Linked DNA regions of Kluyveromyces lactis. The protein of the gene in region 3 interacts with the protein of the main gene of each other region in a biochemical or structural test. Links are inferred from orthologs where the notes say so. Each region holds a gene or a part of one and is shown on either strand. Other genes may lie near its edges.

The links.
Region 1: the proteins of NUP116 (region 3) and NUP192 form a complex in vitro, tested with the Saccharomyces cerevisiae proteins (2 studies listed by BioGRID). The link is inferred for Kluyveromyces lactis from reciprocal best matches to the Saccharomyces cerevisiae genes NUP116 and NUP192.
Region 2: the proteins of NUP116 (region 3) and ARX1 form a complex in vitro, tested with the Saccharomyces cerevisiae proteins (2 studies listed by BioGRID). The link is inferred for Kluyveromyces lactis from reciprocal best matches to the Saccharomyces cerevisiae genes NUP116 and ARX1.

The regions. Positions count from the first base shown.
Region 1 is NC_006041.1:1,034,675-1,039,165, reverse strand, and holds the start of NUP192 (Nup192p), read right to left. Parts: upstream 2,947-4,491; coding exon 1-2,946. Other genes in the region: KLLA0_E11727g (uncharacterized protein), read left to right, coding at 3,639-3,884; SRP102 (Signal recognition particle receptor subunit beta), read right to left, coding at 4,032-4,491.
Region 2 is NC_006042.1:1,098,060-1,101,811, forward strand, and holds ARX1 (putative hydrolase), read right to left. Parts: upstream 2,363-3,752; coding exon 647-2,362; downstream 1-646. Other genes in the region: recombinase DMC1, read right to left, coding at 1-95; PDA1 (pyruvate dehydrogenase (acetyl-transferring) subunit E1 alpha), read left to right, coding at 3,370-3,752. UniProt on the Saccharomyces cerevisiae protein: Probable metalloprotease involved in proper assembly of pre-ribosomal particles during the biogenesis of the 60S ribosomal subunit. Accompanies the pre-60S particles to the cytoplasm.
Region 3 is NC_006042.1:2,465,791-2,470,046, reverse strand, and holds the start of NUP116 (FG-nucleoporin NUP116), read right to left. Parts: upstream 2,801-4,256; coding exon 1-2,800. Other genes in the region: KLLA0_F26686g (uncharacterized protein), read right to left, coding at 3,557-3,796. UniProt on the Saccharomyces cerevisiae protein: Functions as a component of the nuclear pore complex (NPC).

The DNA of each region.
Region 1 (4,491 bases), on a different chromosome or scaffold from region 3:
GTAAGACAAGTTTTTGCTAATGAAATCTAGAATATTCACCTTTAATTTCAATGAGCATTCATCGGTAATAGGCGACATTAGTTGATCAATGAAGCTTTGTTTTATTCTTGCAGAATCATCAACAGAATCGAATACCGTCAATAATATACTTTTGTGGAGACCTCTAGGATTTCCCGAGTCCAATTTAGTCGCTAACTTCTTTAAAATGCTAATACTGCTCAAAGAAATGTCAAAATTAGTGCTACCAACATAAAGACCGAAGTGAGCTGTCAATGGAAGATTGAAGAAGATAGCGTCATAGAAGAAACGCAATCCTCTTATGCTGATACTTTTGGGTAGAAACACCGAGTTATCAGAGCAGCGTTTCACTATAGGATAAAATTCCTCGGCATATGTTCCTTCGTGTGTTAGCATAATATCAATGATATATAGTGAATCCCTGACCATCAACGACTTCGGCTTCAAAATACGCCCAAGTTCACTCTCCAGCTCATCTATTCCTATAGAGGCTATTTTGAAGATCTTTGAAAACACTTTTTCGTTGTACAAGTAGTTCATTGTGGCAGTAGCATTGGATTGTTGGACAAAGGAATAGAAGTCGGAAGTCTGTACAAACGAGTCCAAATTACAACCGACGGAAACGGAGTTCAAAATAACGCTGTAGTCAAATGATAAAAGCGAAGATTTGATAATATCTAAAACCAAAACGTTCTTGACTGTTTGCTGGTCTTTGGTAGCTGCCTTTTCATCATTCAAGAAAATATTACCCAAAATATACTCATAATAAGGCCATACACCTGTCTTTCTATATCCATATCCAATATTCACAGGAAAACTTAGTTTACCAAACTTCATATACTCATTACTATGATTAGTTGTTCCCACAGACACCAATCTGGAGAACAATTGCAAAAATCCTAAGACTTCGGAGTAGCCAGTGAAAATTGAGTTGAAGGCTGCAATATAGGAACTATCTGTTGAATCTAACGGGTATGATTTGAAAATGAGTCGGTCTAGTTTGGTCCAGTAACCGTACCTTTGAGTTTCTTCCTTAGGGATCAAATGACTTAATACTTTTAGCGCTGCACCTAGTAAAGGACTTCTTACTTTGAGGAAACTGAAGAGGATGTCTTCGAATGTGTTAGCTAATTGCGATTTTATTTGTTCATCAACATTATATGCAATAGATTCAACCAAGGTAAAGTACGAAGACAACAGGATAATTGTTTCTTCACTTAACCCACTTTCAATTGCCACCGCATTGATCTCACTTGTTGCTGCGCCGTTTTGCTGGAGATCTTGTAACTTCTGTTCAAGTTGTGTAATTTTTTCGGTTGTTTCGTTTATATTATGTGCAATATATTTCCAGGAACTATGCTGATTACTCTCCACATAATGATAAACATTATGAGAATTTTGAGATCCATATGACAAACTGGAAATCATCAAGTAAAAGCATGCTTTCATCAAAGTATCGTTACATTTTGCAGCCCATTCTATGAAACCATAGAGATTAGACTCTTTGTCATCCCAGAAAGAGCTTGAATATTCCGGTCTAGATGCATAAAAGAAGTATATGGTAATGAAAAATCGTTCTAGGTCCGCCTTCGCTGAGATGTCATCCAAATAGAGATCCTCACCGGATAATAAAGAATCTTCCTCAGCATTTTTTATCTTTGTCAAGAGGAATGCACAGTCTGTAATAAAAGCTTGAAAGAAGTCATGCAAAGTGGATAGAAAGCTATCGAGTCCATAGTCGAAAATTGATAAATTTGAGTATTTGGTAGAAGGGTCATCAACATAAGTTTTGGTGCTTACTGCGGTTGAGTACTCTGGATCTAACAAGAGTTTTGGTGACATTCTTGGAATATGCTTCTCTAGCAAGGACCGTATGTCAAAGAATAACTCCATGCTTTTATCTGCTTCTACCATCGAAGTTTCTGCTGCGTATACCATCAACTGTTCGATTGCCCCCAATTCGACTGCAGAAGTCATTGGAAGGTCTACAGCAACAGCGAAGTCGAATTGCTTTGCTCTTGTAGTTGGTTCAGCTTTGCACCAGCCTATAAAGAACGTTAAGAAGATGAAGATGAGAACAACCTTGGTGGGTTTAGTGTATATTGATTCGGATTCTAAATCTCTGAGGAATTGGGCGTGCAAACTTTCAACATCCCTGGAGGAGAAGGATGCCAAATTTTTGAAAGTATTTATTATAGCAGGTAGGTAAAATATGATAAAAAAATCATCAGAGGCTAGCGATGTAACATGGTCAATAACCTTTTGTATTACCGTTGCATTAGAGAGTAGATTATTTTTGGACAAACCGAAAAGAACAGTACCTAACGTGTCATATTCTTTGATCAAGAAATCCCTTCTGAACGTAATATTCTGTTTCGAAACCACATCATAATTATCAAGGATTTGTGCCTTATTTACAAGTGCCTTCACATCCTCTAGTTCTTTATGGATTGTGTTGAATGCTTGCAAAACATTGTTTAAAAGAGTCCCATCACTGGTAAGTGTTTGAAAAACATCATCTGAAGAGGATAGTGCATTCAAAACGTATGCCACCACTTGTAAAATATATTGTCTTCTGAGATAGTATATCAGTAGACCCTTGTTATGCAAAGATATGTCCTGGTCCACAGCTTGGGACGAGTCCTCTGCAGTTAATATTTGTTCCGCACAGACAATTTCATCAAGATCTAGCTCATCGGAAATCTTGATTACTTCTATTATGAACTCCTGATTCAATTTGTACACTGATCCATCGGATAGCTTAATTTCTCCGGATTCCAATTCGCGTCTCTTAGCAGCATTTTTCTTAGCATTATCAGTCAAATTCAACGTCTTCAAATCAGATACAAACTCATTGAACAAATCGGTACGGAAATCAGCTTTCTGTATGGATTCATACAAGGAGGCAAAGGGTGAAAGTGCCCACATTATTGAATTTATATGTCACACAGTACTTCGACCAGTACAGGCTTTCGTAGCTTCCAGTTGATGATATCACTAGATCAGCCCTACTGATGTAAATTCAGTATATCTTTATTTTATTTACTATTATTTACTTCAAATTTTTAATAATGGAACCAAATTATCAACAGTAAAAGTAAAACGAGGGTAACCATCATTTGCGAATCGAGAACATACCTTCACAACCACTAGTGAAGATGAAAAACATATTGTAAGTACTGAGTGACAGCTGATATTCTCGTGCTAGTTATCAACAGATAGATATTGAAGTGCAGTTATGTTAGATCTGATGTAGCGGTTTCATTCTCTAAGTTAAAAAAAAGTGGTTAAAAATAAAGCACTCACGGTGGGGGTCGAACCCACAATCTTCTGATTAGAAGTCAGACGCGTTGCCATTACGCCACGCGAGCAACTGTTATGACAACAAGAAGTTAGAACAGTACCAGACTCCTCCTCTCGTATCATTTACTCCACCTTTATTTATGTCGTTGGAAAATTGAATGGATACCGTGTGAGAACTTCGCGCTCACCTTGTAGTGTTAAAAGTTTCTGACTTCGAGATCAACATTGCATCTTTACCACTGAATGAAGTGAATGGCAACAATATCATACTGTAATAGGATCATTTGCTCTTATTTTGAACTTTAATATCTGCAGCTATGAAGACCTTTTCTATTATTTTAGCACTCTTTATCTATTATTGTGTTTGGTTACTGTTACCTATATTTGATCTTGATCAAAAAGTGTCACTTTTCCCATTATCTAGCCAATATGCAGTTGGAATCCCTATATTACTGTTACTACTTGGAACTTCAATCGTTGGAACCTCAGTTGCTGTAATGTTATGGAATGATTGCAGTGATGTACCGAAGACAAGAGACAAACCAACGCATACCAATACTTAACCTTTAACTTCAAATTCAATGACCAAACAACAAGGCTGAAAAGGATATGACAAATCGCAATCGTTCACAGTTCATTACATGGCTTTATTAAATGTGCTATATATGAATATGGGAAAAAAATTCCTGAAAGGCAACAAGGCAGATCGCCTAATTCATTGCACGTTCATCAATCCAGCATTCCCACTTATCAATATCATTTTTCAAAACGCTTCCCTCCTTAGCATCTACATTCCCATCAATTCTATCGAATTCGAATCCGGCTGAGTTTTGTTGAAGAACAGCAACCTCATCGTCATCATCGTCATTAGCATCGTCACTCAAGGACTTTTTCGAGTTTGCCTTCAAACTTTTGGCCTTTCTCTTCATGATTTCAGTTATTTCCTTCTCCAAAGCACCCTTGATCTTTGATGGAGGTCTTGCCACGAATGACTCAGATTTATTGCATGCCAACAAGATGTCAACTCCGTCTGGTCTTAATTCGGTGACAGATAATATTTCATACAATAGTTCTGCAGTACTGACCAATTCCTTAGGATTAATAGTAGAATCAATCACATAAATGAGCCCTTTCAATTGACTCGAATCCTTGATGGTTTGGAGCAGCTCA
Region 2 (3,752 bases), about 1.4 Mb from region 3:
GTCTTCAATTTAGTTATATCAGACGCGTTAATTCCGAAGTTTTGTAACTCATCAATATTGACCACATTGGTTTTAGTTTCTGTCTCTGTAGACATGACAGCTTAAATAGAAATGGAATGGGACGTTTCAAGTAGAATGAAATGCAAAGTTATTGGTTTTTAGGATCACCTTCTCGCTCCTAGTTATGTGCACTAGATATCTCGCTATGTCATATTCATTGGTAGTTGGGTTTGTTGATTTGGTTTCTGACTCCAAATCCTTTTTATACTAAAATCTAATTAGCCGCCATCATTTTGAACGTTTTGATAATCCTTCCGAAGCAAACACACTAATAGTAGAAGAACTAATGACAAAGTTGAGAGCTTGAGTTCTATTATGATTTTGCTAGTGTACAGATCTACAAGATACTTAGAAGTTGCTATTTATACATTGTTTTTGTTGCAATTGGTTGGTAAGAATAAAGACTCATAAGAACAAGACTCTTGGGCTACCGAAATCAAACGAGTATTGAATATAATATGAACTGGTGTATCAATGTAGAGTTATTGTGTGCAGATGCGAAAAGGGTGTTTGTGTATGAAATAGAATTTGTTATCTGTTGAAGTAGTTCTATCAAAGAAGGTAGTTAATACTGGTAATGAATAAATTAGAATTTCATTTTCCATGGTTGAGTTTCTCTGATCTTCAAACCAAATCTCTTATCCTCGGACAATTGAGCCAGTTTGAATATACCTGCAACGATATTGCTTGCAGTATCCATAGAGTAAACAGAATGAACCCAGTTAGATTTTAGGTTTCCGCTGATTCTTAGCAACTCTTCATCACAGATGGCTACAGTGACACATTGACGGACCACAGGAACTGGCGTAGAGTGTTTTTTTAGCAAGGATTTCAACTGTAGGTTGGACAAACCTAGTTTAGGTAGAGGAAGCTCGAAACCTGGGTATAAACCTTTATTCTTTGCCATGGCGTCATAACTTGACACACCGGATGGGTTTGTTAGATCCAAGATCTTAGCCCAAGGAACGTGTTTTACGATGGTGACATCTCTGTCGATTGTTAGGTAGTTGTTAGAAATTTCAGAAAGACCTAATCTGAATGGCTTGATTTCTTGCTTGATGGTTTCGAAATCAGGCTCCTGTACGTCCAATGGGAAAGAATCAGCGATATGAGCTAATTTGGTAGGGTATACACCTTGTTTATCCAATCTGGTCAACACTTGTCTAGCAGCTCTTAACTTTAGAACATGGCTCTTTGAAAAATCACGGCAGATGGCACCTGGTCTAGCCACCACATCAGAGGATTCAGATTTACCGGAGAATTGATCGACAGTGTGTAAAGTGATCAAACCTGGCTCCAATCCTTGCAATGGAGCCAACTTCAAATCGATCATGTAAACTTCACCCTTGACAACGGTAAAATCATCTGTTGGGACCACGGTATCTTCGGTGATAAATGGGTTCTTACGCTTGACATCAACAGCAGTTTCATTGACGGTTCTAGCAAGCATAGCAGCTTCCTGATGAGACTCAGTCCAAATGACACCTTTGAAGTCTCTTTCGACAATGATATTTTCGTTTTGACCAGAAAGGAATCTTTTGATTCTTCTGATACGAGAACCAGGCACAACGCAACAATTATAAGATTGAGCAATGGTGTCAACTACGGTCCTAATCAAGGAACCAGTGACCTTCGTAGCGTTGAAATCAGCTGGAAGTTTGGTCAAATCGTTTGCAGCAGCTAATAAGTTAGTGACGGACTCAACAGCGATATGGGTGGCAGCTAGAGCATCAGCTTTACCACCTAGCAAAGCAGCTTCAGGTAGCAATTTTCCAGATTGGGCATCCTGAACGGTTGGGTAAATGACCACGGTGTGGGACACGTTACAAGTGTACCCATCGATGTGACAACCCAAAGTGATCTTAGCGACATCACCAACTTTCAAAAACCCAGACAAACTAGAAGTAACACCGTTACATAGCTCGATCGATTTGGTAGATCTAGATTTTTGGTTCCAACGGGACAAGTTTTCGATGTCATCCACTTCAGGACACCAGTTCTCGTTTATTTCATCGATATCAATACAAGTTGGCATTGAGATTCCCTTCTCGTTAACCTTATTGTTGAACTTAGTACTTAAACAATCGGCTATGAACGAATCAGTCAATAAACAAAGTTGATGAATCGGTAGCGGCTCCATAGACTTCTCATGATACATCTTATTGATCAAACTGATCAAAAAGTTTAAAGCAGTCTGAGCAATTTGACCTGCAGTTCTATATTTCTCAATTGTTGGTTCGATCAATACATTCTTATCTTTCAATAACACCTGAGTGTCTTCCTTTGAGATTTGTAACGCCATAGTACGGATAATTTTATCCACAAATTATTAGTATTAGCTGTTTTCTGATACAAAGGAGGGAACGATACACTATGATAATGATGTAAGTATGTACCTCGTTTCTCTTTACCTCATCTCATCTCATCGCTTTAAAGTTTTCACTGATACTTTTTTTTTCCAAATTTCTTTCCTGGATACAACCTTTCCTGCCACACAGCACTAAGATATTTCAAAAAATTTTCCAAAATATTACCCGGACCTCGATCAGAAGAGAATGAAAAAGAAATCACTTTCTGATCACGTGCGCCAAAAGTATTAATATTCGGGTAATGTGTATCATTAGAACTCATGACCCGCATATTATCCGGGTAATAGATCTGCTGCCCATGTTCCACCCAAACACCGCGCTGTGCACGTCACTTTTCCCACTCTTTCTAACAACAATCCCGTCTGTCTAATTGAATCAGCACAATAAACTCTACCTACACCAGACGAAACTGTCAGATATCCCATAATAAGTAGAATATCAATACTCTCCGCATCATCAGCTACCCAACGGTTCAAGTTTGACCCCAATTAGAGCAAAATTGACCTTGCTTATACCCACTTCTTGTTATTTCAAGTCCCTTATCTATACCGACTGGCTGGCTACGAAATTTTTTGAAGTTTTTTTCCCAAGTTCACAAGTATTTAAAGGCGGATTTAATTGTGAATATGATGAGAAACAGTTGTTGCGTGATTAAGAACCTTTTTTTGGTCTTTCAGTGATACTGAGCCAAGCAATTGATTAATTGACTGACTGATTGATTGATTGATTGATTTTTGTCAAATTTTTTGGAACAAGGAATCGTTCATTAGTTGGCTTTTTTTTGTTTTAATATAGAATCAGGAACTCAGAGCTTCTTCTTCTTTATTTCTTCTCTATACAACATATTTTGCCATCACTACTGCTGAGTGTGTATTTGTGTGTTCTAATTGTTGGTCGCTATAGTAGTTAATACCGAAAAGAACAATAAATTAGGCAAACCATGCTATCTTTGAAAGCTCAATCCTCTGTGGTTGGGAAGTCCAGCTCTTTGAGATTGGTTAGAAACTTTTCTAAAAACGTCCGTGCTTTGTCCCAGGTTGCTGATGAAACTAAGCCAGGTGATGATGACCTAGTTCAAATTGATTTGCCAGAAACCTCTTTTGAAGGTTATCTTTTGGATGTTCCTGAATTAAGTTATCAAACCACCAAGTCCAATTTGCTACAAATGTACAAGGATATGATTATCGTTAGAAGAATGGAAATGGCCTGTGACGCTTTGTACAAGGCTAAGAAAATTAGAGGTTTCTGTCACTCCTCTGTCGGTCAAGAAGCCATTGCCGTTGGTATTGAAAACGCTATCACTAAGCGTGATACCGTCATCAC
Region 3 (4,256 bases):
TCTGTTCCATTTTCTTTTGTGGTCCGTCGTCAGTATTGAAGATTATGAATTTCAATTCACCAGATGAGGTATCATCTTCTTCCATCTTTTGGCGATTGATGATAAGGTTTTTGAAAGACTTTTTGTCTGGATTAAAGAGGAGTTCTCCGGTAGTTAAAATAGCCTCATCAGTAGATGCAGTGAAAATTGAAGAATCCATAGGCTTTCTTGTTAGAGCAGTCGAACTAGTGTCTTCCTCCTTGGGTTTTGATAGTTTTAGATGAATTTTAACCTTTCTGGAGTTCGGTTCCGACTTTTTAGAGTCAAACAAGGGTTTTGGAAGCAGCTTGTATGCTGCGGAGAGGGAGTTCTTTTTCTTCAAGTCTGCAGAAACCATTGTGGCACTAGGCTTAGTTGGTTGAGTAATGGAATTAGGAATAGAGATAACACGGGAGAATAGCTCATCCGTACCATATGGATTGGAGTTCGCTTGTGCTGCTTGCTGCTGGTTTTGCATTTGTTGGTTTTGTTGCAAGGAAGATGAAGAGAATAAACCACCTGTATTTGCATTACCAGAAGTGTTGTTTTGTGATCCAAATAATCCTGTCGAACCAGTATTTGCTGGCTTATTCGCAGAAAATAAACTTCCGCCACCAATTGATGAGGCATTGTTCGTGTTTGTTGCGCCAAAAGGTGCAGTTCCGGCAGGTTTTCCACCGAATAATCCACCTCCAGTGGTACTACTCAAACCACCTGTTGGTTTAGTGCCGAAAAGGCCACCAGATGTTGACGCACTATCAGCTGGTTTGGCACCAAATAGACCACCAGTAGCCGTATTCTGCTGTTGTGTGTTGCCTCCGAATAACCCGCCGTTGGTAGCTCCTAAAGCGTTAGTGCCGGAAGGTTTGGCACCAAAGAGACTACCCGATGATTGACCTTGTTGCTGGTTGTTTTGACCAAATAGACCCCCCGTTGCTGTGTTGTTCTGGTTGTTATTTTGACCAAACAATCCGCTAGATGTATTCTGCTGCTGACTACTTTGGCCAAATAATCCACCAGTAGTTCCTGTTGGTTTTGCACCAAACAATCCTCCGGTGTTGTTTGCCATACTGTTGTTCTGCTGACCAAATAAACCACCGGTGTTAGGTTGCTGTGTTTGTTGGTTCTGATTACCAAATAACCCCCCCGTTGCAGACGGTTGATTACTTTGTCCGAACAATCCGCCAGATTGTTGTTGCTGATTATTTTGACCAAACAGCGCGGAACTACCACCCATTACAGTTTTATTTTGAGCTCCGAATAACCCAGTTGAACCTTGTTGACTTTGGTTGTTTGATCCAAACAGGCCACCGGTAGTTGGCTTCGCACCAAATAATCCTCCGCCCTGTTGATTCATGGAGTTGCTATTTTGTTGTCCGAAAGGACCGCCAGTGCTAGCTGCGTTACTTTGTTGTCCGAATAATCCTGTACTGTTTGTGTTAGATGGTTGTTGCTGTCCAAATAAACCTCCGCCAGTATTGGTGTTGTTTTGTCCAAACAATCCACCCGCCTGAGTATTGTTTACCTGACCGAATGGAGTAGAATTAGCAGCATTTTGTTGACCGAAAGGAGAGGGTCCGTTCTGTGCTTGCTGACCGAATAAACCGCCACCTGTAGTTCCACCTGGTTTTGATCCAAATAATCCACCTGAGGTGTTATTATTCTGACCAAATGCGTTATTGGCGTTACTTTGTTGACCAAAAAGTCCACCAGTATTGGCCGCTGTGGTGTTATTTTGTCCAAACAAACCACCCGGTTGATTGTTGGTGTTTGTTTGGCCGAAAGTGCTCCCAAAGGTGTTTGAACCAGTATTTTGACCAAATGCGTTACCTGGGTTTTGCTGTTGGTTTTGTTGACCAAATAATGAGTTGTTGGCTTGACCAAATGCGGAATTATTATTGGTGGTGTTTTGTCCAAACAGACCTCCAGAGGTAGCCGGTTTGTTTAAACCGAATGGAGAAGAACTTGAAGCAGTATTTTGCCCGAATGGAGAATTATTCTGCTGTTGTCCAAACATGCCAGTTTGCTGTTGCTGCTGTGGTTGGCCAAAGGGAGTGTTATTAGGTTGTGAAAATGCATTTACAGGCTGTTGCTGGCCAAAAGGTGAATTTGCAGGCTGTTGACCAAAGGGAGTTGCGCCACCTGCACTGATGGTATTTTTATTTCCTAAACCAAAAGTGTTGTTAGTACCATTTGTCTGTTGTTGACCGAATGGCGAAGCAATAGCAGAAGCTGTCGGACCTCCAGCAGTGGTGCTAAATTTCCTATTTTGTTGATAATCTTGGAACCTCAACTCTTCAAACGAATAAAGGCTATATTCAGGCATACAAGTAATAGATTGAAACACCGATGGATATCCAGTTGACACATCCTTTTCCGTATAAGGTTGGAATGGCTTGATTCCAGTGCCAGAAGGAGGTCCAGAAGAGAGAACGCCTGTCGCTGTACCACTAGATTGGCTACCACCAAACAGGGATGGTGGGTTCGACAATGAATTACCTGCTGCTGCTCCTGCTGCTGCCCCGCCAAACGGAGAAGTAGTTGTATTTTGCTGTTGTGACATACCGAATGGGGAATTTATAGTTTGCGTAGGGTTTGTATTAGCGCCGCCGGTACCAAACCCACCAAACCCTGATTGCGCGTTGTTGGCAGAGCTGGATCCAAACAGATTGTTTGTGGTTCCACTATGCTGTTGACCGAACGCATTGGTTGTTGACTGAGTTTGTTGGCCAAAAGGAGAAGTACTCGTCTGTCCAAATGCCGGTCGAGAAGCACCAAACATCAGTGGGTCAGGAAATCAAGTGAGGTGACAATTGATGAAAAAGCTGACTAGGAATAAAATAATATGTCCTTCAATGACACAAGTAATCTCTAAGTAGATAATACCAAAGTCGTAGCGTTTTGGTTCAATGGTATTTTTCTGAGAAATAATTTAAAGATGAGTGAGTGTCCTTGTTCTCTGATTGTGAAAGAAGAAACACACTAATCAATTAACGATCTATAAAAAAATTTCCCACTTTACGCACTGTATGAATACTTTTATTGGTCTCAGTTGCTGATAGTATGACTGAAAGACAAATACGACAAATCATATAAGCCGAAACATTGCTTGCATCAACTTAGAAAACGTTAGTTCTTTATCATCAATTAGTTGTTTACTTCAAGGATAAAGAAATTTTCAGAGGTGAGGGATGACCTAAAATCGTATTAAGTGACATAGCGTACGTAGTGATACGTAGTTTTGGGGGATTGTGATGTAGCAGTAATTACTTGAGCACAAGGGAACAGCTGCTAATGCAATTCTGAGTTGGCTCCCTGTTTGAAACACTTAATTCCAATATGTTATATATAATGAATTCCGTCTGTTAAATTACCCAAAAAGTATATATGTTCTATATAGTCGAAAGAAATGAAAATAAAATGAGAGATAAAGCCAGGCAGTAAAGGCATTAAAAGATGCATCTCTCTGGTATGCAAATCTTCGGTAGACACAATAAAGTAGATGTGAAACCCCCTTATTGGCTTTAATACCATAGCGTCATAGGCTCTCTAGGCCATTCATTACCTCATTCATAAGTAGATAATTCTTCAAATTCCTGGGCTTTAACGACCCTGTCGTTAAATCCACGATCAAATCTTCCTCTTCATCAGAATCACAATAGTCTTGCTCTAGGTCTGGAGTCGATCTGGGAACTGAATTTAAACTTTTGAAGCATTGTACTATCACCTGGGAAACCTGCTGCGTATCTTTGGCTTTTCCAAAATTGTCTGTGAACATTGTTGAATATTGTCAAACGGGGACGCTAATGGGTATATTGTAGTAGGCGCTTGTTAAGCCTATTCGGAGGTCGGTATCCTGTGTTACTCCTTATTATGAGACGTCTTTCTTACACTTTTTAACTTATCAATACAAGATACAGACAACCTCGAATCTATTACATAGGCCTTGTCAACAACTGAAAGGTTATTCCTTATATATATATAACCTCCATAAAATATACTACAACAAGATAACAATAACACACTAACAAATTGTGGTTAAATCTCTGAAACAAAATGGACCACTTCTGTGGGCAAAGGAATCAAAAGGCAGCCCGTTAATGTGCGTTATCATTTGACACTTTCACAATAACCTCTCAGCAGGAACTTCAAACACCGATCTTTTCATCAGCCTAAGTGAAAGTACCGCAATAAAAAGTGTGGCTTTCCACTCATTCCTCAACAGAGCATGTGACATG